5 linked regions of the Callithrix jacchus genome follow. The protein of the gene in region 1 binds, or shares a complex with, the protein of each later gene. Links are inferred from orthologs where the notes say so. Each region holds a gene or a part of one and is shown on either strand. Other genes may lie near its edges.

Region 1 (3,921 bases):
CTGCGGGAGAAATGATCACTGGGAGATGAAGTACTCCTGGCGATAATGGCTCCCTCCTCCCAGTCTTCTCCCTCCCTGATTCCACTCCTCCGGATCCCACTCGCCGGCAAAACTCTAGCCAAGTGACATACAACTGAGAACAGCCGTTTTACCAGCTCCTACACATGAAAATATCTTAATTAAAATGTTCTAATAAATGTCCACCTAAAGCAGGTACTTTCGAACAGTATTTTTTACATAAGCATATTTAACATTTAGTTTCACATATGTGTCATAAAACTAAAGTTTTATGAAATGATACTCAGTATTCCATTCCATTACAACAAAATCACCCTCTCTTTGCAGACCGGGAAAAGCTCAACATGAACAGAATAAATCAAAATATACTTCTATCCCTCCAGCTTGTACCCATTACTCTTCTTTCCCCACCACTGAAACCCACTGACGCCTTGGAAAGACTAAAAAACAGCGGGAGGAGGGGAGCAACACAAGGCAAAATTCAGCTCAGCTTGGTGGTTTCTTCTTTATTGATGTGCCTCTTACCTTCCCCCGACAATTTCAGTCCCTTCCAACTACCCCCAAAAAAGAAGGTAGTGAAAGGAAGGGATTGCTGGGGTTTTGAGCCCCTTGGGCAGTCAGAAAGGGAACAGAAACCAAAACAATCACTAGATGTGACAGAGACTGACAATCAAGAGTCTAAAGCAGAATGGGAAAGGCCGGCAGAGAAAGGGGAAAAAAGGAGAAGGGAGAGGTACAAGATGCCAACTCCACCATTACCCCTCCTAAGAGAGGCTGGAGAGAGAGCCTCAAACATTAAGAAGTGCCGGTCCTGAATAAGGGAGGTGGTATTTGAGCTTGAAGGAGGAAGAAGTCAAGAAAGGGGGGCCACCTCTCTCTTTGTAGAATGAGAGCCCCCTCCAGCTCAAGGGCAGCAGCTTCACAGACCGTAGACACTTTCGTCACTATAGGCAATGTACAGAAAGAAGTCTTCTTCATGGTGTTCCTGAGATGAAAGCAGAAAACTGTTCAGCAACTGGGCTCCTAACTTACTTCAACCAACCACCACCCAAACCAGTTTATGGTCTTCTAGAACCACAAACCAGTGCCCGACTCCTTCACTGACTCCAAGGACTAGCATAAGCAGTATAATCTCTGCAGTCCTGGGCAAAAAGACCTTAAACGGTTGTCTGCTGCTCTGGAAAGGGGAGGAGGACTGGGAAGAGTCCTGATCAGAAAGTTCCTCTAGCTCACTGTTCTCTTTGCGTCTCTCTACTCCTACTGTTCTGTTCAAACCCCCAACCCACTGCTATCATGAAATTTTAAGGCAAGTCAGGAAGCTAGTGCAAAACTACTGATGTAACAACACTTTCTTCCGCTCACGCTCTTCCAGAGGCTTCTCCAAAGCCTCCACCACTTCCAAGTCACCGTACCTGGTAAAGTTGACCCATTGTGGCACTGGTGGGTGGAATGACATTGTTGACAAAGAAAAACAAGGCATCCTCAGCTCGGAGATGAATTCGCTTCCGGATCAAGAAGTAGAACTGACCAACTGCAAAAGATACAAGGTGTGAGAAAGTCAGAGAGGTCAAAAATGCCCTCAAAAGAACAGCTGCTAGGTGGAGCCTCCTCCTGCAGAGACTGCACTCCCACCCACAGGAAGCAAGCCTGGGTCTTGGGTCAGGTTCCCACCTGTGAGATCAGAAGGCACCAGGTATTTCTTTTTGTCCAGGTCTCCTATCCGAGCTTTGGGAGCCTTTTCTACTATCACCTGATAAAGAGAGGATGAAAATGAGGAGGCAGAGGAATGCAGCCCCGCAGCTGCACCTGTCAAGAACTCAAGTAACAATAACCCTTGCACCTAAATCTACCCCAGACTCATCTGTCTTTGCACACGCGGTGCAGCCCTGAGTCCCAGAGATCCTGACCTTACTGACTGGAGTTCATTTAAATAGCCAGGATCCATCCCCCGAATAGGGCGTCACCATAAACAACTATCTTAATCAGATGGAGATGACTTGTCTGGGCCGACTAGTGCTTCAATCTCACAACCTCAACTAGCTGGGGGGATGACCACTTGAAGCTCAGGCTGTCAAACTCTCTTAAGGCCTCCACTCACAAATGCCAAGGTTTCTCTCTCCTGTCTACATCCCTCTCTACTCCAGGTCCACCACTACCCCACCCCTTTCATCCTCGGTCCCAGGGACAGCAGTTTCAGGGTCGCTTCCAATCCCGCCATAGCCAGCAGCCTGATCCTCCCGCTGCCCGTCCCAAATCCAAGGCCAGGCTGTGGCGTCAGCGTAAGCGTCCCGCGCCCTCCGCCCAGGCTACTGTCCTCACCGGCACCCGGTCCGGGTATTTCTTTCGGATCTTCTCGCCCTCAGAGCGGCGCTTCTCGAATGGATGCTCTTCTTTGTACACGAACTTCATCCTCCCGAGAACCGGGCTGGACCGGGCTGGGCTGAGGGAACCCGGGAGGGGGGGGCCGGACGGGGGACGGCGGCAACAGTGGCGACGGGCGGGCGGAATCAGCGGAGCGATCCACGAATTTGCGCCACTTCCCTATTCACCAACCCCGCCCCCGACTAACAGGACGGCCCCCCCGTTAAGATACGCCACTACCTCATCGGCACTAACGCTGCTAGCGTAGCAACACCCACTGACCCTCCCCCTCACGCCATTAGCGTAATCGCTTTGGAATTAATGTGTGGGATACGCAGAAGACGTAGCAAAGACGGTTGGTTTTCACTCATTGAAAATACCTCTAAACCTATTCCCCAACCTCCCCCTCAAGGAAGCTGGGGCTCAAGAGGAGTATGAGATGGTAATAACCATGAGACTTGGTTTCCCAAGTTCCTTTCGGAAATAACGTAGAGGAACAGCAGAGACAATTACAAGGTCGGCTATTCACAAAACGCGTTGCTACGCTGAAGGCGGCCGTTGACACCAAAACAAAGTAGTACCCAAGGGACAGAGATGATCTCCACAAATAAGAGTTCAAAAAGAAAACGGATGTTTGGAGAGATGTACAGAACGCTTAAGTACCAGGAATGAGTAGACCAATAGGGACTGGAGAGGAGGTCCAAGAGGTAAGGACTACGCCAGCGCGGAGGAACATCGCAGTTTGAGTGAAATCATGTGATCTCAGAGAGGGCGGAGCGTCACGTGGCGGGTGCGGAAAGTAGGGCCGGCTGGGGGGGCGGAAAGTAGGGCCGGCTGGGGGGGCGGGGCCAGCTGAGCAACGTCGGGGAGGGGCCCCTCTTCCGAGAGCGGAGGTCGAGGCGGCCCTAGGGGGCAGCGCCCGCGTAGTCTGTCCATATCAGTGCTCCCATCGAAGCCCGACGTTTCTCTAGCTCTACGCCCTTTGGCCGCCCAGGTTTCTCCTTTCGGCCTTCAATAGCCTACTGCTCCAAAGGTATCCTTCCACTCCACACCAGTGCGCCCATCCTGTCACTCGGCCCTTCCCGCCAAAGCATCTGGTGTCCACATTCACTATTGTATCCTCATGCTCAACAGCACCTTTCCCCGTGCCCTCGAGTCCAGCAGTAGGCTCTTCGCCCACTGCTCTGGAGACAGGGTGCATGTGAATAAAGTGCCCTCCCCTCACTTCCCAAAACCCCAGAGAAGGACCTAAGGGCCGCTTTGGTTTCAAAGTTATAATGCATGGTTTAAAAGAGAGGAAAGGAAAAAAGACAAAGCTGGTTACAGGTCTGAGGGAGTCTAAGGAGAGAAAAATACGAGAGTAAAGGGGGGACAAATTGAGGGAAAAACCAGTGGCCCAAAATCCCCGTATCCCACCCACAGCCCAGCCCTTGGAGCAGGAGTGAAGAATTAGATCAGTTTTGTACAAGAGTTTAAAAAAAATCAAATCACAACAAAGCTGACTTGGCTTCTCTTTGAGTCTCCTGGATCACCGTATGTCTG
Region 2 (3,509 bases), about 69 Mb from region 1:
TAGCAGGGGGACTTAGGGTGAGGGGCGGGTGGGAGAGAGAGGGTGGGAGAGGCTAGCAGGGGGACTTAGGGTGAGGGGCGGGTGGGAGAGAGGGTGGGAGAGGCTAGCAGGGGGACTTAGGGTGAGGGGCGGGTGGGAGAGAGGGTGGGAGAGGCTAGCAGGGGGACTTAGGGTGAGGGGCGGGTGGGAGAGGGTGGGAGAGGCTAGCAGGGGGACTTAGGGTGAGGGGTGGGTGAGAGAGGCGTGGGAGAGGGTGGGAGAGGCTAGCAGGGGGACTTAGGGTGAGGGGCGGGTGGGAGAGAGAGGGTGGGAGAGGCTAGCAGGGGGACTTAGGGTGAGGGGCGGGTGGGAGAGAGGGTGGGAGAGGCTAGCAGGGGGACTTAGGGTGAGGGGCGGGTGGGAGAGGGTGGGAGAGGCTAGCAGGGGGACTTAGGGTGAGGAGCGGGTGGGAGAGGCGTGGGAGAGGCTAGCAGGGGGACTTAGGGTGAGGGGCGGGTGGGAGAGGGTGGGAGAGGCTAGCAGGGGGACTTAGGGTGAGGGGCGGGTGGGAGAGGGTGGGAGAGGCTAGCAGGGGGACTTAGGGTGAGGGGCGGGTGGGAGAGAGAGGGTGGGAGAGGCTAGCAGGGGGACTTAGGGTGAGGGGCGGGTGGGAGAGAGAGGGTGGGAGAGGCTAGCAGGGGGACTTAGGGTGAGGGGCGGGTGGGAGAGGGTGGGAGAGGCTAGCAGGGGGACTTAGGGTGAGGGGCGGGTGGGAGAGGCGTGGGAGAGGGTGGGAGAGGCTAGCAGGGGGACTTAGGGTGAGGGGCGGGTGGGAGAGGGTGGGAGAGGCTAGCAGGGGGACTTAGGGTGAGGGGCGGGTGGGAGAGGCGTGGGAGAGGCTAGCAGGGGGACTTAGGGTGAGGGGCGGGTGGGAGAGGGTGGGAGAGGTTAGCAGGGGGACTTAGGGTGAGGGGCGGGTGGGAGAGGCGTGGGAGAGGGTGGGAGAGGCTAGCAGGGGGACTTAGGGTGAGGGGCGGGTGGGAGAGGGTGGGAGAGGCTAGCAGGGGGACTTAGGGTGAGGGGCGGGTGGGAGAGAGAGGGTGGGAGAGGCTAGCAGGGGGACTTAGGGTGAGGGGCGGGTGGGAGAGAGAGGGTGGGAGAGGCTAGCAGGGGGACTTAGGGTGAGGGGCGGGTGGGAGAGAGAGGGTGGGAGAGGCTAGCAGGGGGACTTAGGGTGAGGGGCGGGTGGGAGAGAGAGGGTGGGAGAGGCTAGCAGGGGGACTTAGGGTGAGGGGCGGGTGGGAGAGGGTGGGAGAGGCTAGCAGGGGGACTTAGGGTGAGGGGCGGGTGGGAGAGAGGGTGGGAGAGGCTAGCAGGGGGACTTAGGGTGAGGGGCGGGTGGGAGAGAGAGGGTGGGAGAGGCTAGCAGGGGGACTTAGGGTGAGGGGCGGGTGGGAGAGAGAGGGTGGGAGAGGCTAGCAGGGGGACTTAGGGTGAGGGGCGGGTGGGAGAGGGTGGGAGAGGCTAGCAGGGGGACTTAGGGTGAGGGGCGGGTGGGAGAGGGTGGGAGAGGCTAGCAGGGGGACTTAGGGTGAGGGGTGGGTGAGAGAGGCGTGGGAGAGGGTGGGAGAGGCTAGCAGGGGGACTTAGGGTGAGGGGCGGGTGGGAGAGAGAGGGTGGGAGAGGCTAGCAGGGGGACTTAGGGTGAGGGGCGGGTGGGAGAGAGGGTGGGAGAGGCTAGCAGGGGGACTTAGGGTGAGGGGCGGGTGGGAGAGGGTGGGAGAGGCTAGCAGGGGGACTTAGGGTGAGGAGCGGGTGGGAGAGGCGTGGGAGAGGCTAGCAGGGGGACTTAGGGTGAGGGGCGGGTGGGAGAGGGTGGGAGAGGCTAGCAGGGGGACTTAGGGTGAGGGGCGGGTGGGAGAGGGTGGGAGAGGCTAGCAGGGGGACTTAGGGTGAGGGGCGGGTGGGAGAGAGAGGGTGGGAGAGGCTAGCAGGGGGACTTAGGGTGAGGGGCGGGTGGGAGAGGGTGGGAGAGGCTAGCAGGGGGACTTAGGGTGAGGGGCGGGTGGGAGAGGGTGGGAGAGGCTAGCAGGGGGACTTAGGGTGAGGGGCGGGTGGGAGAGGCGTGGGAGAGGCTAGCAGGGGGACTTAGGGTGAGGGGCGGGTGGGAGAGGGTGGGAGAGGCTAGCAGGGGGACTTAGGGTGAGGGGCGGGTGGGAGAGGCGTGGGAGAGGGTGGGAGAGGCTAGCAGGGGGACTTAGGGTGAGGGGCGGGTGGGAGAGGGTGGGAGAGGCTAGCAGGGGGACTTAGGGTGAGGGGCGGGTGGGAGAGAGAGGGTGGGAGAGGCTAGCAGGGGGACTTAGGGTGAGGGGCGGGTGGGAGAGAGAGGGTGGGAGAGGCTAGCAGGGGGACTTAGGGTGAGGGGCGGGTGGGAGAGAGAGGGTGGGAGAGGCTAGCAGGGGGACTTAGGGTGAGGGCTGTCGTGTGGGAGATGCGTGGCCTCGTGGCCGGGGTGGGGCTTGGGAGGGAGGGGCGTGGCTAAGAGGCCACGGAAGGATTTGGAGGCTTGAGCGTGGCTAGAGTGCCGTGGGAGTTGTGCTTAAACAGAAAGGCAAGGGTGGAATTGAGGGTGGGAGTCTAGTCTTCCCCGAGGTCCAGTTTACCTGTCAGGGGCGAGAACCGAGGAGACATCTCCAGGGTGGTATCCACAAGAAGGGCGTCGGGGACCCCAATCTGAGCAGACACAGAATTGCAGCAAGGCAAGGGTGGGAGATGGCAGCTCCCCTTAGGCCTCCCGCCCGGCTTATCCGGCCTGACCCAGCCCCTCGCTGTGTCCACAGGGAGGTGGCGCCCGCCCACCGCGAGCCCCGGGCCGCGCGCCACGCTGCTCCTCTACCCGCGCGGGCGGCGCTGCTGGAGAAGGCGGGTCAGGTGCGGCGGCTGCAGCGGGCCCGGCAGCGGGCGGAGCGCCACGCGCTGAGCGCCAAGGCGGTGCAGCGGCAGAACCGAGCCCGCGAGAGCCGTCCGCGCCGGCCCAAGCACCAGGGCAGCTTCATCTACCAGCCGTGCCAGCGCCAGTTCAACTACTGAGCGTCTGCTGGTCACGCCACGAACCCCTTGCCGACTACCGATCCCTGTCGGGCCCCTCCGACGCCTCGGGCTGGACGCCGAAACCTCCCTTCTTAAAGCGTGTGAGGTTGGGTGATAGCCGTTCCTTCCCTGACCCCCTCAACTTCTCTGATCCTCTAATCCGCCTGAGCCCCTTTTCAAGCCCCCTTCATCCTCGCTCTTTCTGGCCCCCATCCCCAGCATCTAATCATCCACACCCCCTACTCCTCTCCCTTCCATCCTTTCTTCTCTGGCCCACATCCCTGTCTCTCCCCTTCACCCTTGCCCTCCAGTCCTCTACCTCTGGCCGGCTCCTATTTCTGAAAGCTTCTTCCAGTCCCTGATCTGGCTCATTCCCCACCTTCAACTCCCACCTTACATGACTCACACTATCCCATGTTTGGCATTACACTCACCCCTGT
Region 3 (4,121 bases), about 87 Mb from region 1:
ATATTTTATAAAGACCCCTTAGGTTAACCATTTTGGAAATCTACATTGTTCTGAAGAAAAAGATATGCTTTCAAAACACTGCCTAGCAATTCCTAATCCTTTTTCTGTTATAAAAATTAAAATTAAAAAGTTACTGCCACGGTGCTTGTGGCAATAAACAAAATGTAAAATTTATCAAAAGACTAAATTAGTTTTATGAAACATAAACATACTAAATAAATAAATACTGGATTCTTAGCACAAAAAATTATTAAAAGGTTGCTTTGAGTGTTAAAATTTGTAATATTAAATTACCTTCATATTTCAAACATTACTTTTTCTAAACCAAACCAGTTAATCAACTTTTCCTCCCCTTTGGGAACAAAAAGGATATTTAAGATATATTCCAAAACAGCAAAAACAACTTAGTGTTTGAATTCAGTTACAACAAACCCTGCTGATCCTGTGCATTTCACTGAGGTGCCACACGCACCCAAAAATCATCATCAGAAATAGAACTTGAACTTCCTGACTCAGACTCTGGCTCACTGAATCCACCTAAGTCCCATTCAGTGCTAGATTCACTTGGTATTTCTTCTTCTTCAGTGAGGAAACTCTGACCAGGTTCAAGGCAGGAAGGATAAACACGAGCAGAGAGGCAAAAAAAGTTGGAATCAAACTGCAAGAGGCCTAATGTGGTACCTATATTAATCCATTGGTCTCCCCTAATATCATATTCATACACAGTCACCCGGTTCTTTTTCCACTGTGGGGTGCGAGAGGTGACGAGCAACAATTTTTGGCCATGCTTGATAATCCGGTAGTTATTGGTCTCTGACACCAAGGGAATATTATTCATTTGCCTCCATTCTGCCCTAACTGGGTTGTAGACCTTCATGACTGGGATGTCACAGATACAATAGATCTCCTCATTGAAGACACACGCTTCCTGAAAGTCATTGCGCTTCAGAGAAACGCACTTCAGCCACATGTTGTGGCTAGGATCATAACAGAACATGCGCTTACTGTTGAGAGCATAGAGATAGTCCCGAATTACCAACAGGTCAAAGGATAAAAAAGAATGGGGCAGTGGAGCCACCAACGCCCACTGGTTTCTCTTAACATTGTAGCATTCTACTTCCTTCAATTTAACTCCAGTAATAGGGTCTCGCCCCCCCAAAATGTAAATGTAGCCATTGAGGTATGCCACATCCATGCCCTCACGACACAGCATGCGATCTGCAAGTTGGTGCCAACTATTCTGACCTGGTTTATACACCCAGAGGTCTGTCCTGGGCTGGGCAGCTAGGTAGATGTCGTGCTCTGGAGAGATACAGACAGCTAAGGTAGTGACAGTCCTAGTGTGAGCAAGACAGGTCAAAGGTGAGGGCACTTTGTAAAGGTCCCCAGAGTACGGATCACAGCAAAGAAAGGGATCTCTGGGGTGTCCAAAGAAGATCAGCATCTCCTTGGCACACATACCCAGCCTCTGAGGTGGATTTTCTGCTGCAGGTACAACAGAGTTGCTGCTGCTGCTGCTGCTGCTGCCGCCGCTGCTGCTGCTGTTTGGCACTGGCACCAGAGACTTGTACAGCAGGTCGCCATAGCGCATCTGCAGGGCCCCTTCAACAACGCCCAGGCAGTACTTCTTCACTAAGGGCTTGCTCAGCAGCCCTTCTAAGTAGTCCTGATCTTCCTCAGTGAAGTGCGTCCAGCGCACGCACTTGAAGACTTCTGCAGCACTGGGACCCCGCTCTTTGGGAGCAGCCTCCAGCCACTGCACTGCTACGTGGCACACTGTCCGCTCACTCTCCACGTCCAGACTATCCAGGCGCAGAACAGCCAGCAGCTGGGCCAGGGTCAGATCTGCTAGAGTCTCCTCCCGAATCGAACCCATGTGGCTGAGCTGCTTGAAGTTGTGAGCTATATAGGACTGGGCCTGAGATCGCAGCTTGCGATGGTCAAAGGCGTCTGCAAACTTGAGGATGGCGGTGCAGTTGGTGAGCTCCAGGCGTCGGGCTAAGAAGGAGGCACAGGCTTCCCGCACGTACTCCAGCTGCAGCATGTCCGAGGCCGCGTACAGGCGCTCCACGTTGGCCTCACTGAGCGACACACGACCCGTGTAGCAATAGTCCACCAGCACCTCGAAGGACTCGGCGTCCACGTCGTGCATGGTCACGCTGGCCTGCTGGCTCTCGTACATGCCACCTGTGAACATGCTCTTGAAGTAGGGACACGCAGCTGCCAGCACGTTGCGGTTGCAGGGGAACAGGCGACCCGTGCCGGGCCCGCTGCCGGGCGTTACCACCTCGATGGTCACATCGCACAGCAGCCGCGCGTCGTAGAAGGACTTGAGCTGGGCCAGGAGGGCTGCAGAATGGGCCGTGTCCTTTAATTCCTCTGGGCCCGTGAAAAAGGCCGAAACTGTGGGTATGTGAATCTTCTTGGGCCGCTTCCCACCGCGGGGACTGGCGAGGCGGCGAGAGCGCGGGGCGTCCTCCCGGGACTGCATGATGGAGATGGCGACGGGCGCTGAAGGCGAGAACGGCTGCAGGACCCGGCTCTGGCTCCTCCTCACCCTTCCCTCGCTGACGCTAAGGCAGCAGCGTGTCCGAAGAAGCCGGAGCACGAGCCCATTTACTGAATTCAGCCCAACCCCAAGGAGCCGCCTCCCTTTATCGTTTAGACAGTGGCTGACTCACCCGCTCTCACACCCGCGTCCCTTCTCCGCCTCTGCTCGCGTTCACAGGACCCGCTGGCTGGGAGCCTCAGACGCCGCTGCCACCGCGTGGGCGACAACACTAGGCGCCCAGGAGAACTACAGCTCCCACGATGCCTTTTGCGCCCCAAGGGCTACTGGGGCTCTCGGACCCCCGGGCCGAGACTGAAAGAGACCGCTTTGCATGTTGGGAGTAGTAGTTCGTGTAATATCGCGATCCTTCTCTGTGTTCCTTATTTTAATGACGACACTCGAGAGCGCCAATTTTCCTAGGTTGGATTTTGTGGTTCGGAAATGTGGTTTTGGTATCCAAAGTAGTCGCCTCGTTCTAGTATATATTGTTTGACTTGTCTCTGAACTGTTTCTTCTTCTTTTGTGAAATGTGAACAGGAGTATTTCATAGGATTGTGTGAAGATTAAATGAGTTGGTTATAGGACGCTCTTAATATTTGTTGGTTTGTAGAATAATTATTCGCTTCTTAGGTTGTAAAGGTTCTATAAGTTTTAACTTTTCTTCCAGCATTTATTTAAAAAAAAATGAAGCACCACTAATTTGAAATTATGAGCCTGTAGGAAAACAAAAAACAACCCCCAAAATCAGAAAACCTTGCAGCAGAGAATCCCTTTTAGGGGTGTGTGTGTGTGTTTTAATTAGTAGGTTTGAATCTTACGTTTACAGAAAAATTGAGCAGAAGGGACCGGGAGCTTCCTATATCTCTTCCCCCTTCGCAATTCCCTTATTATTAACATTTTGTATTAGTGTATGCATCCGTTAGAAGTGATTTTTTTTTTTTTTGTACATGCTGTGCCTCTCCCTGATACCAAAAGATAACTCAGTTTGTAGGATTGGTTGGCTGTTGCTGCTGAATTAGATCCCTGGCTTTTCCACCATTGCCTGTCCTTACTTGCCATGACTAAAAGGAAATCACCTCCAATCACCTGACTTTGAGACTTTCCTTCCATATCTGCATTTCAAAACCTGAAGTCCTCTCCAGCGTCTTCTCCCACTCTCCAATATTCAGTTTCCCCTTTCCCCTTTTTACCCAAAAGAAAAGACATATTTTAGAGAGTCCTCACTCTAAAATACAATGGAAGCCAGAGGCCTGGTGAGTAACTTAGCATCCTTTGAGACCCAGTGGTGCAAGCATTTCTCCCCTTGCTTGTATGAAGTTGCTGTTCCATCAGAGCGGGCTTCATTTTGAGTCATTCCCTCAACCTTTACACACCCCATGCAGTTCAGATGTTAAAAGTCACTGAGAACACCAAACACGTTTCCACTTCCGACCCACTTCCTGTGAAACCCTGCCACTGTCTTCCTCTCACATCACTGCCCACCATAGTCAAAACAAACCTCTCTTCTTCCCATTCCCTCTGAAGGACAACCTTGTGACTGTGTCACCGTCACACAGTCTCTCACATTTCC
Region 4 (3,841 bases), on another chromosome or scaffold:
TTTTGAGAATGTGATCACCACACAGACCCTTTATCTAGAAAAAATGCAAATATACGCTATATTGTGCTTATGATTTCTGGGGAGCCAAGGACCCTCAGAAGCATATGCATGAAATTGAGAAAGAAGCAGGGCATGATAGCTCACACCTGTAATTCCAGCACTCAGGGCATCTAAGGCAGAATAATTGCTTGAGGCCAGGAGTTCAAGTTCAGCCTGGGCAACACAGGGAGACCCTCATCTCTACAAAAATTAGACAGGCATGGTAGCATGCACATGTAGTCGTAACTACTTGGGAGGCTGTGGAGGAAGGATCACTTGGGCCCAGAAGTTCAAGGCTGCAGTGAACCGTAATCATGCCACTACACCCTAGCCTGGGCAACAGGGCACGACTCTGTGTTGGAAAGAAAAAAAGAGAGAAAGAAAGAGAGAGATTGAGGGGGGGTGGGGGGGATTAAGAACACCTGATGTGAACTTTTAAAATTGCAAAATTGAGCAGTGAAATTTAAGAATCTCTTCAAAGTAGAGAATCCAACTAATACTGAAATATTATATTGTCATTTATTTTTTAAAAACAGATTTTGCAAGAGTAGGACATTGTGTTTTCTAATTTATTCATACTTTTTGGAGGTGATATAAATTTTAAGTTACAACTATTTTTTTCTTTAAAAAAATTTTTTTTGGTAGAGTCAGGGTGCTGTATGTTGCCCAGGCTGGTCTCTAAATCTTGGCCTCAAGTGGTCCTCCGGCCTTAGCCTCCCAAAGTGCTTGGATGACAGGCATGACCCACTGTGCCCAACCAAAAGCATGCACATAATTCAGATGAACTCATTTTAACTTATGGAAATAAACTGGTAGTAGAAACCTATCTTTCTAGCAGCTTGAGACACAATGGTTCAAAGTGTTAACATACTCCACTAATGCTCAAATATCATAGGAAGAGTTCTCAATTCTAATGTAATACACACACACACACACACACACACACGCACATACATATATATATACCTTTTTTTTTTTTGAGACAGAGTTTCGCTCTTGTTACCCAGGCTGGAGTGCAATGGCACGATCATGGCTCAACACAGCCTCCGCCTCCTGGGTTCAAGCAATTCTCCTGCCTCAGCCTCCCGAGTAGCTAGGACTACAGGCGGGCGCCACCATGCCCAGCTAATTTTTGTATTTTTAGTAGAGACGGGATTTCACCTTGTTGACCAGAACGGTCTCGATTTCTGCACCTCGTGATCCACCCGCCTCGGACTCCCAAAGTGCTAGGATTATAGGCTTCAGCCACCATGCCCAGTCTGTAATATATATTTTTAAACATAAAAACACATCTATCTAATTCCTATATTTAAGAGTCTCATGATAAAAGTTTTATTTTTCTTTTTTAAAGTGGGATTTATTTTTCACCAGACTTATGCACTAATACAACATCTGGTTTTCTATAAATTAGCGTGTCCTTGGTTCTGTTTTATGTCATGTTTGTTATGTCGCCTAACAGTGAAAACTAATTGTTCCCAACCTGCCACCAAATACCAACCTGGAAATATGCCACTATTTCAAAAAGCCCAAAGAATAGGGTTTTGTTTTTCCTTTTTAATTGTTTGGTTTTTAAACTACATAGTAAACCGGTTGGCAACCATTACTGAACAAAAATAGTTTTTCGTATGCATGAGCACCATTTTCCCACAGAAAACAACCAATTTTAAGGTACTGGAAGTCCATGCAAGGGTTCACATATACAGTAAACACCCTTTCAATCTGGTTTTATCACATTATTTCTGTGAAAGAAAGACCTGATACTGCAGATCTCAGAATTATATGGTAAAAATCAATGAAACGCTGCACCTGAGGCTCAAACACTAGCCAGAAGGCCTTTGGTCAGAAAGGTCACATCTGCTTTATAAATCCCGCCGTAACTGTGAATGTTTGCGATTCACCACATCCCCAGCACAAGAGAACTGGTGCATCTCTGGTTCCTTCCATAATCTAACGGCTTCCAGCATAGGGCGTAGTGGGAGAGGCCCGCAGCCCTGGAGACAGCGCCGGAGGGATGGAGGCCGCTCCGCTGCGCCCAGGTGCGGAGGGCTCCAGGAGCCGAGACCCCGCGGGATGCAACGGGCTTGGGGGACAGTGCCTGATCCCCTACCCCTGGGCGCCAGGGCCGCCAAGTTACGCCCCCACTGCTTCCTAGAGGTAATGTCCAGCCTACTCCTCCCCCATCTCCCAAAATAGCCCGGTTCCGCTCCCCTCCGCCTGCCGTCCGTGACCCCGACCCCGACCCCGACCCGACCGCGACGGCGCCCTCCCCAGGCCGCAGCGGAGGACTCGGGCCAGGCCGCCAACCCTGGCGGCCGCGGCGGCTCCAGGCCAAGGCGGACCCTAGGGAGGACAGCAGCTGGGCCGCGGCCTGTCCCTAGGGGGAGCGGGTACAGGGCCGCCAGTGGGCAGCGCCTCCGCCCCGCACGAACAAAGCGATCAGGCGCGCCGGCCCGAGGCAGCGCCGCCTCTCCCGGAGCACCGGGGGCGGGGAGGATGGCGGGGGCACTCACCTGAGGGCCGGCGGAGGGCGCGGGCGGGCCGGGCCCGGGATCCCGGACCGCGCCGAGGACGCGCGGTTTACGGGAAAGAGGCGACCGGCGTGGCGTCCACGGTGGGGCCCGGGAGCCCCGCGGCGCGGGCCGGGGGCCGGGGCCCGGTTCGATTCTGCGACCGCGAGGTGCGGGAACCGGTCCGCCGGGCCAGGCAGCGGTGCTAGGCGGCTGGGGCAGCGAAGCCGCCGCCTTTCCCTTCTCCTGCCCCCGTCCTTGCTCCGCAGCGTCCTCGTCCTCGTTGGGTCCCCGCCGCCGCCGCCGCCGCCGCCTCAGCCTCGGCGCTCTTCGGGCTTCTTCTCTCCATCAAGGCCGGGCCGACCCGCAGGGACCATCCCGGGAAGTGAGGGGTTGTTGCCGTTTCCCGCAGCTGTTGGTGGCCATCTTTAATCCTCCTCCTCCTCCTGCTTTCTCCACCTCCCGCTGGCTGCCTGACTGACTGACTCTGGATCCTCCTCTTTCCCCTCCTGCTCCTCCTACTGAGCCGGCCGCAGAAATTGCAGCCGCTCTGCCTCTCCCCCCCCACCCCTCCTGCCTTTCCTTCCTCTTTCCTTACTTCCTTCCCTTCCCTCGGCTTCCCGCTTTCCCCTCACTCTCAGCGGCTGCCTTCGCCCTCGTCTTCAGGCAGCGCCTCTGGATGCTCCCAGCTGGACTTCAGCCCCGCTCCCCTCAGTCCCTCTCCCCACTGCCTTTCAGACGCGCCCCTTCACCGCCCCGCGCCCTGCTCCCCTCTCCCACCCCCCACCCCTGCCCCTCTCCGCGCTGCTCACCCTCCTCAGTCCCAGTTTCTCAAAGGACTCAGCTGAGAAAGGACAACTGGGTTCTTCAGCTATCCTTATCCCTACACCCTTTTGCTGGATGCTGTCAAAGGCGATGGAGAAACGCAAAGCTGCGTTAGTTTTACTCTAGCTGGAGTATAAAAGAACTGCCCACGCCAGCTATTTTACTACGCAGCCTCGAAACTCCTGCACAGTCACCTGTGTGGCTCTGGTCCATGATGGGACCGGAGTTGAGGAGCTAGGTCTCCAGAGGTGCCTTCTGTCAGTGACCTTCAATCGGTTCCATAAGATTTTAGGTTTTCGCTTTCCTTCCTGGAAGGGGCATAATTTATACCTTTGCAGTCCCAACAAACAGTATTTAGACCAAATAAGTATCCTTTAGTAAACCTAGAACTGCTTAGTGATCAGCAGTTTGCTAGTTTGTTCCTATACAACACAGTAGACAATTTGGGTCACGCTTCAGTTCTGGCAGTG
Region 5 (4,140 bases), on another chromosome or scaffold:
CCTCAGGCTCAAGTGATCCTCTTTCTTCCTAGATAGTTGGGATAACAGGTATGCATCACATCTGGCTAATTTTAAAATTTGTGTAGAGATGAGGTTGCCTCACTATGTTGCCAAGCAAGGTTGAGTTGTCAAACTCCTAGCCTTAAGCAATCCTCCTTCCTCAGCCTCCTAAAGTACTGTGATTACAAGGGTGAGCCACTGCGCCCAGCCCCAAACTTTCTGTGTTACCTGACCACCTTCTAGCTTTTTAGGGGTATTTAAAGAAGTTGATTTGCATAAAAGTACTAGGGGAAGTACTTGGTGCACAAAAAGTACAACCTCAAAGGGGCTGCTGTGAGGACTCCATAAGGACAGACCAGGAAGTACTGTTTAGAGAAGTACCATCTTGAGTCAGACCTTCCTGGGGTGTGATCCTACCCTGTCCCTTTCCTCCTGGGTGATGGTAAGCTCTCGAGGTACCCCAGGGATCCTCCTTTTCCCTCCAAGTCTCACCTGCCAGAGGTCCAGGCCCAGCACACCAAAGTTATCATAGGCATAGATATTGGGATCAGGGGAATACTCGGGATTGTCAATTTCTGGGTGGATCCAAGTGCCCTTGTAATCTGGGTTGTCGATCTGTCGGGGCTTCCACTCACCCTGCAGAAGGCATAAGGGAGAAAAGAACCAGAGGGTGAGTGAGGTTGGTGGACTCCCCACTGTGAGCTCCAGCCCTGCTCAGAACCCCAAACTCACCTTGTACTCAGGGTTCTGAATCACTGGGGGTTCCCACTCTCCATCCATCTCTTCATCCCAGTCCTCAGGCTTCTTGGCATCAGGGTCAGGAATATGCTCAGGCTTGTCCCAGTCCTGGGGTGTAGAAGAGGTCAGAGTTGGCCCAGCTGTCCTACACACGCTCCAGTGTGGAAAGCAGAGCCCCTCCCCAAACACCTACCTCAGGCTTGGAGTCTGTGGGATCATCGATCTTGGCCCGCTCATCCCAGTCTTCCGGTTTTGAAGCAGCAGGATCCTTTATCTTCTTGGGTGGCAGAAAGTCCCAATCGTCCTCCAAGGACCCCGACTCCACCTGGCTGTTGTCGATCTTCACCTCGTAGGTATTGTCCGGTCGCACAATCAGTGTGTACAGGTGTGTAAACTCATCATCCTGAAGAAGGAAGGAGGTGAGTGGGGCCCCCCGCAATCAGACCGACCTCTGAACTTCCCATGACAGCCATCATTTGCCACCACCACCCCCAGGCACACCTTGCAACGGATGTCCTTGTTGATCAGCACGTTCTTGCCCTTGTAGTTGAAGATGACATGAACCTTCTTGGTGCCAGGGCCACAGATGTCAGGACCTAGGTGGGAAACACATCCAGTTAAGAGTCAGAGACTACCCACCATTTCAAGGCCCTCTCCCCTCTTTACAAAAGGAAAACCTGGTTCTTAAACTTGGTCTGTCAAGGCTAAAAAGAGGGACTCAGACCTTGATGCTGTCCTGAATGAACTGTGGCTGGAGCCTCAAGTTTAAAGAAAAAAAATGAGCGTTCTAGAACTCAACATCCTCATTTGTAAGATTGGGAAGTAACTATATACAATCATACAAATTAAATTAACAGCCTAGATCTGGGATAAGGCAATAAATTGTTGCTAACTGTGACCTATTCTTTTAGCTCTCCTTCCAAAGAAAATCATGATTAGTAAATGCTTTCCATCCTCTCAAAAATCACTTTTCTGGGATGTAAGGAACTCAATGGGGTCTGAGTCTCCCTCCAACTAATGGGACAGAGATCAGCACCAGGAACCAGCCCCTCACCGAACATGATGTTGTATTCTGAGTCTCCGTGCATGTCCGTCTGGTCCAAACTACTAGGAAACAGCTTCACATAGCCGCCCCCACAGTCGATGTTCTGCTCATGTTTCACCGTGAACTGCACCACTAGTGTCTGCCCTTTGTTGCTAAAGGGCTCAAAACTGGCCGATAGAGCATAAAAGCGTGCATCCTGGCTTGTCTGCAAACCTGAAACGGAATAGCAGTGAGGTCACCGTTGGGCCCTGACCCCCGAGGACCCAAGACCTAGAGAATACAAACGACTCCCCTTTCCTCCACCTGCTCTCCTCCTAGGGGACTGTCCCAGCTGTGTGCAGACAAGGACTTCTGCCAGGAAGTCCTCCCGGATCAGAGCACCCACTCCTAGGCTCTTACCTTTATCTTTCTCCTGGTCACCGTAGAACTTGCCGGAACTGAGGGCAAATTTGCCAAAATCTGACTTGTGTTTGGATTCGATCCAGCGGGAAGTCCACCCATCTAAGTGGGAGGTTAGAGGGGGGAGGTCAACGCGGTTGTGCCGATTCCCCACCACCAAACATCTGCCGAGAATCAAAAACTGCTGGGGACAGGGAAGGAGATCCCCGACTCTCCCCACCCCAACCTCTAGTTTGACACCTCAGGTGCCTTAAGAGATCCTCAGGCGAACCCTAACTCCCGCTGCGGGAGGCCGCTGCGCCTCTGCGCTCCCCAGGGACGCAAAAGAGGAATAGCCCTCGGCTCTAGGCCCTGGAGGCCACCATGTTGGTCCCCAAAGCAGTAATTACGGGCAACAACGCAGATCCGGGATGGGGGCCAGCCGCGTCGGCGGGGCAGCCTCGAGGCGAAATCAGGCGTTACCTCCGTCCAGAAACTGCTCCTTGAAATAGATGGCGGGCTCGGCGGCAGCCAGGCCGAGGAGGCCGAGCAGCAGCGGCACGGATAGCAGCATGGCGGGCCGAGGGGGCGGCGGCGCGCTGGCCCTTTAAAACGACTTTGGGGCAGCGGCTCTGCAGTACGGACGGCCGCCGCCGCCCGCCTTGCACCTTTATACCCATCCGCCTCTCAAACCAACCTGACCAAGCCCTTGGGCCCGCCCTTGACACTTTATCATTGGTCTGCGCTCACGATTGTCTTTTTCCATTGGATCTTTATCGGTTCACCATGTTAGGCTGCGCCTCGGAACGCTGGGTTCCCAGATGGCCGATTTCTATTGGCCTCACCGCTGACCAATGAGAGTCGACCACGCGTTGTGGGGGACGCCCTCTGGTGGGGCGGGGGCCTCGAGCCCCTCAGGCCAGGTCATGTGACCAGATCTAAACCCAACCCCGCCCTCGCCCGCGTGCGTCTTTCCTCATCTGGGCGTTTAAAGCACTGGCGCGAGCGCAGGTGTTTCCACGCGGGACCGGAACCATGTCCCAACTTCTCTCCCTCTCATTCCCTCTACCTGGAGGGGCTGGGCAAGGCTTTTCTAGCCATTCGGGAACCAGTACCCTACAGCCGCTCCCCCATCTCCGCCCGGGATTGAACAGAGCTCAGGGGTTGTGGCCCTGGGGCTTCGCTGCACCCCAGTGCTACAGCCACGCGGGCCAATGGGAAAAATGCCAACTCTCTCCTCCTTCTGCCCCTAGTGCCCTGGCAGCCTATCGGACTGCTGCTGTGCGACCTGGGGCAAGTCACTTAACCTTTCTGAAGTGACAGACGCCCCTGAGCAGCCAGAGGGGACGACCCTCCCTGGTCAGATGCTACCCAGCCGAAAGGCTTTTAACGTTTTGAAAGCTGTCCTGGGACAAGAGGGAAGGAAGGCTTAAGGATGTGACTCCTGGGGTGGGGACAGGGTTATTACCCAGGTTGCAGCAGCCCCTTTACTCTCTTCTCAACCGGTAAATGAAGGGGGTCGATGTCTTGTGGTCTCCCACAAACGGCCTGGCTTTTGCAATTAAACGTCTATAGGCGAGAGGGCCGGGGGTTCCGTTTGGGGAGGGAAAAAAGACAGACGGTAGGGACGATAAGGTGCTAGGGAGATGGGCAGGACCCCCCCCCCCACCTCGACCTCGACTGAGTCTAGTGCCTTCTTCTGAAGCTAGAGAGACGTGACTGACACCAGCACCCTGCCCCCACGCTGCAGAAAGGAGGAAGGAGAGCTGGGGGTTTTCCAAAGTCTAGGCAAATAAGCCCTGGACCTGGGAACCCGGGAGTGGACTGTGGAAGGAGGGAATGAAGGGGATCCAGGAAAGAGGGCGGGGAGGGTTGCTTCCTAGCTAAAGATAGTCAGAAAAGGGAGGAAGGAACAAATTCTTTAAAAGGGAAAACAAAGTTGGAAGGGGGGGAATAATCTGGCAAGTGTTTTTGGTTAA

Evidence for each region.
Region 2: the proteins of GABARAP (region 1) and TP53INP2 are in contact, whole or in part, in a crystal structure (PDB 8T31), measured with the Homo sapiens proteins. The link is inferred for Callithrix jacchus from reciprocal best matches to the Homo sapiens genes GABARAP and TP53INP2. Residues at the interface, in NP_009209.1 of Homo sapiens: Tyr5, Glu17, Ile21, Tyr25, Arg28, Pro30, Val31, Ile32, Lys46, Lys48, Tyr49, Leu50, Val51, Pro52, Asp54, Leu55, Gln59, Leu63, Arg67, Phe104; in NP_001316358.1 of Homo sapiens: Glu31, Val32, Asp33, Gly34, Trp35, Leu36, Ile37, Ile38, Asp39, Leu40, Pro41.
Region 3: the proteins of GABARAP (region 1) and KBTBD6 are in contact, whole or in part, in a crystal structure (PDB 4XC2), measured with the Homo sapiens proteins. The link is inferred for Callithrix jacchus from reciprocal best matches to the Homo sapiens genes GABARAP and KBTBD6. Residues at the interface, in NP_009209.1 of Homo sapiens: Tyr5, Glu8, His9, Glu17, Ile21, Tyr25, Arg28, Pro30, Val31, Ile32, Leu44, Asp45, Lys46, Lys47, Lys48, Tyr49, Leu50, Val51, Pro52, Leu55, Leu63, Arg67, Phe104; in NP_690867.3 of Homo sapiens: Ser663, Asp664, Asp665, Asp666, Phe667, Trp668, Val669, Arg670, Val671, Ala672, Pro673.
Region 4: the proteins of GABARAP (region 1) and WDFY3 are in contact, whole or in part, in a crystal structure (PDB 3WIM), measured with the Homo sapiens proteins. The link is inferred for Callithrix jacchus from reciprocal best matches to the Homo sapiens genes GABARAP and WDFY3. Residues at the interface, in NP_009209.1 of Homo sapiens: Glu17, Ile21, Lys24, Tyr25, Arg28, Pro30, Lys46, Lys48, Tyr49, Leu50, Val51, Pro52, Asp54, Leu55, Leu63, Lys66, Arg67, Phe104; in NP_055806.2 of Homo sapiens: Glu3342, Lys3343, Asp3344, Gly3345, Phe3346, Ile3347, Phe3348, Val3349, Asn3350, Tyr3351, Ser3352.
Region 5: the proteins of GABARAP (region 1) and CALR are in contact, whole or in part, in a crystal structure (PDB 3DOW), measured with the Homo sapiens proteins. The link is inferred for Callithrix jacchus from reciprocal best matches to the Homo sapiens genes GABARAP and CALR. Residues at the interface, in NP_009209.1 of Homo sapiens: Glu17, Ile21, Tyr25, Arg28, Pro30, Val31, Ile32, Lys48, Tyr49, Leu50, Val51, Pro52, Leu55, Phe60, Leu63, Ile64, Arg67, Phe104; in NP_004334.1 of Homo sapiens: Asp199, Trp200, Asp201, Phe202, Leu203, Pro204, Pro205.

What each region holds. Positions count from the first base shown.
Region 1 is NC_133506.1:73,732,791-73,736,711, forward strand, and holds GABARAP (gamma-aminobutyric acid receptor-associated protein), read right to left. Parts: upstream 2,551-3,921; 5' UTR 2,428-2,550; coding exon 2,338-2,427; intron 1,769-2,337; coding exon 1,690-1,768; intron 1,550-1,689; coding exon 1,431-1,549; intron 1,004-1,430; coding exon 938-1,003; 3' UTR 510-937; downstream 1-509. UniProt on the Homo sapiens protein: Ubiquitin-like modifier that plays a role in intracellular transport of GABA(A) receptors and its interaction with the cytoskeleton.
Region 2 is NC_133506.1:4,600,025-4,603,533, reverse strand, and holds part of TP53INP2 (tumor protein p53-inducible nuclear protein 2), read left to right. Parts: intron 1-2,819; coding exon 2,820-3,069; 3' UTR 3,070-3,509. UniProt on the Homo sapiens protein: Dual regulator of transcription and autophagy. Positively regulates autophagy and is required for autophagosome formation and processing.
Region 3 is NC_133506.1:160,304,721-160,308,841, forward strand, and holds the start of KBTBD6 (kelch repeat and BTB domain-containing protein 6), read right to left. Parts: upstream 2,802-4,121; 5' UTR 2,492-2,801; coding exon 452-2,491; 3' UTR 1-451. UniProt on the Homo sapiens protein: As part of the CUL3(KBTBD6/7) E3 ubiquitin ligase complex functions as a substrate adapter for the RAC1 guanine exchange factor (GEF) TIAM1, mediating its 'Lys-48' ubiquitination and proteasomal degradation.
Region 4 is NC_133504.1:112,702,931-112,706,771, reverse strand, and holds the start of WDFY3 (WD repeat and FYVE domain-containing protein 3), read right to left. Parts: upstream 2,554-3,841; 5' UTR 2,550-2,553; intron 1-2,549. UniProt on the Homo sapiens protein: Required for selective macroautophagy (aggrephagy). Acts as an adapter protein by linking specific proteins destined for degradation to the core autophagic machinery members, such as the ATG5-ATG12-ATG16L E3-like ligase, SQSTM1 and LC3.
Region 5 is NC_133523.1:11,760,785-11,764,924, reverse strand, and holds the start of CALR (calreticulin), read right to left. Parts: upstream 2,807-4,140; 5' UTR 2,736-2,806; coding exon 2,645-2,735; intron 2,285-2,644; coding exon 2,183-2,284; intron 1,997-2,182; coding exon 1,793-1,996; intron 1,335-1,792; coding exon 1,240-1,334; intron 1,142-1,239; coding exon 932-1,141; intron 847-931; coding exon 733-846; intron 637-732; coding exon 493-636; intron 1-492. UniProt on the Homo sapiens protein: Calcium-binding chaperone that promotes folding, oligomeric assembly and quality control in the endoplasmic reticulum (ER) via the calreticulin/calnexin cycle.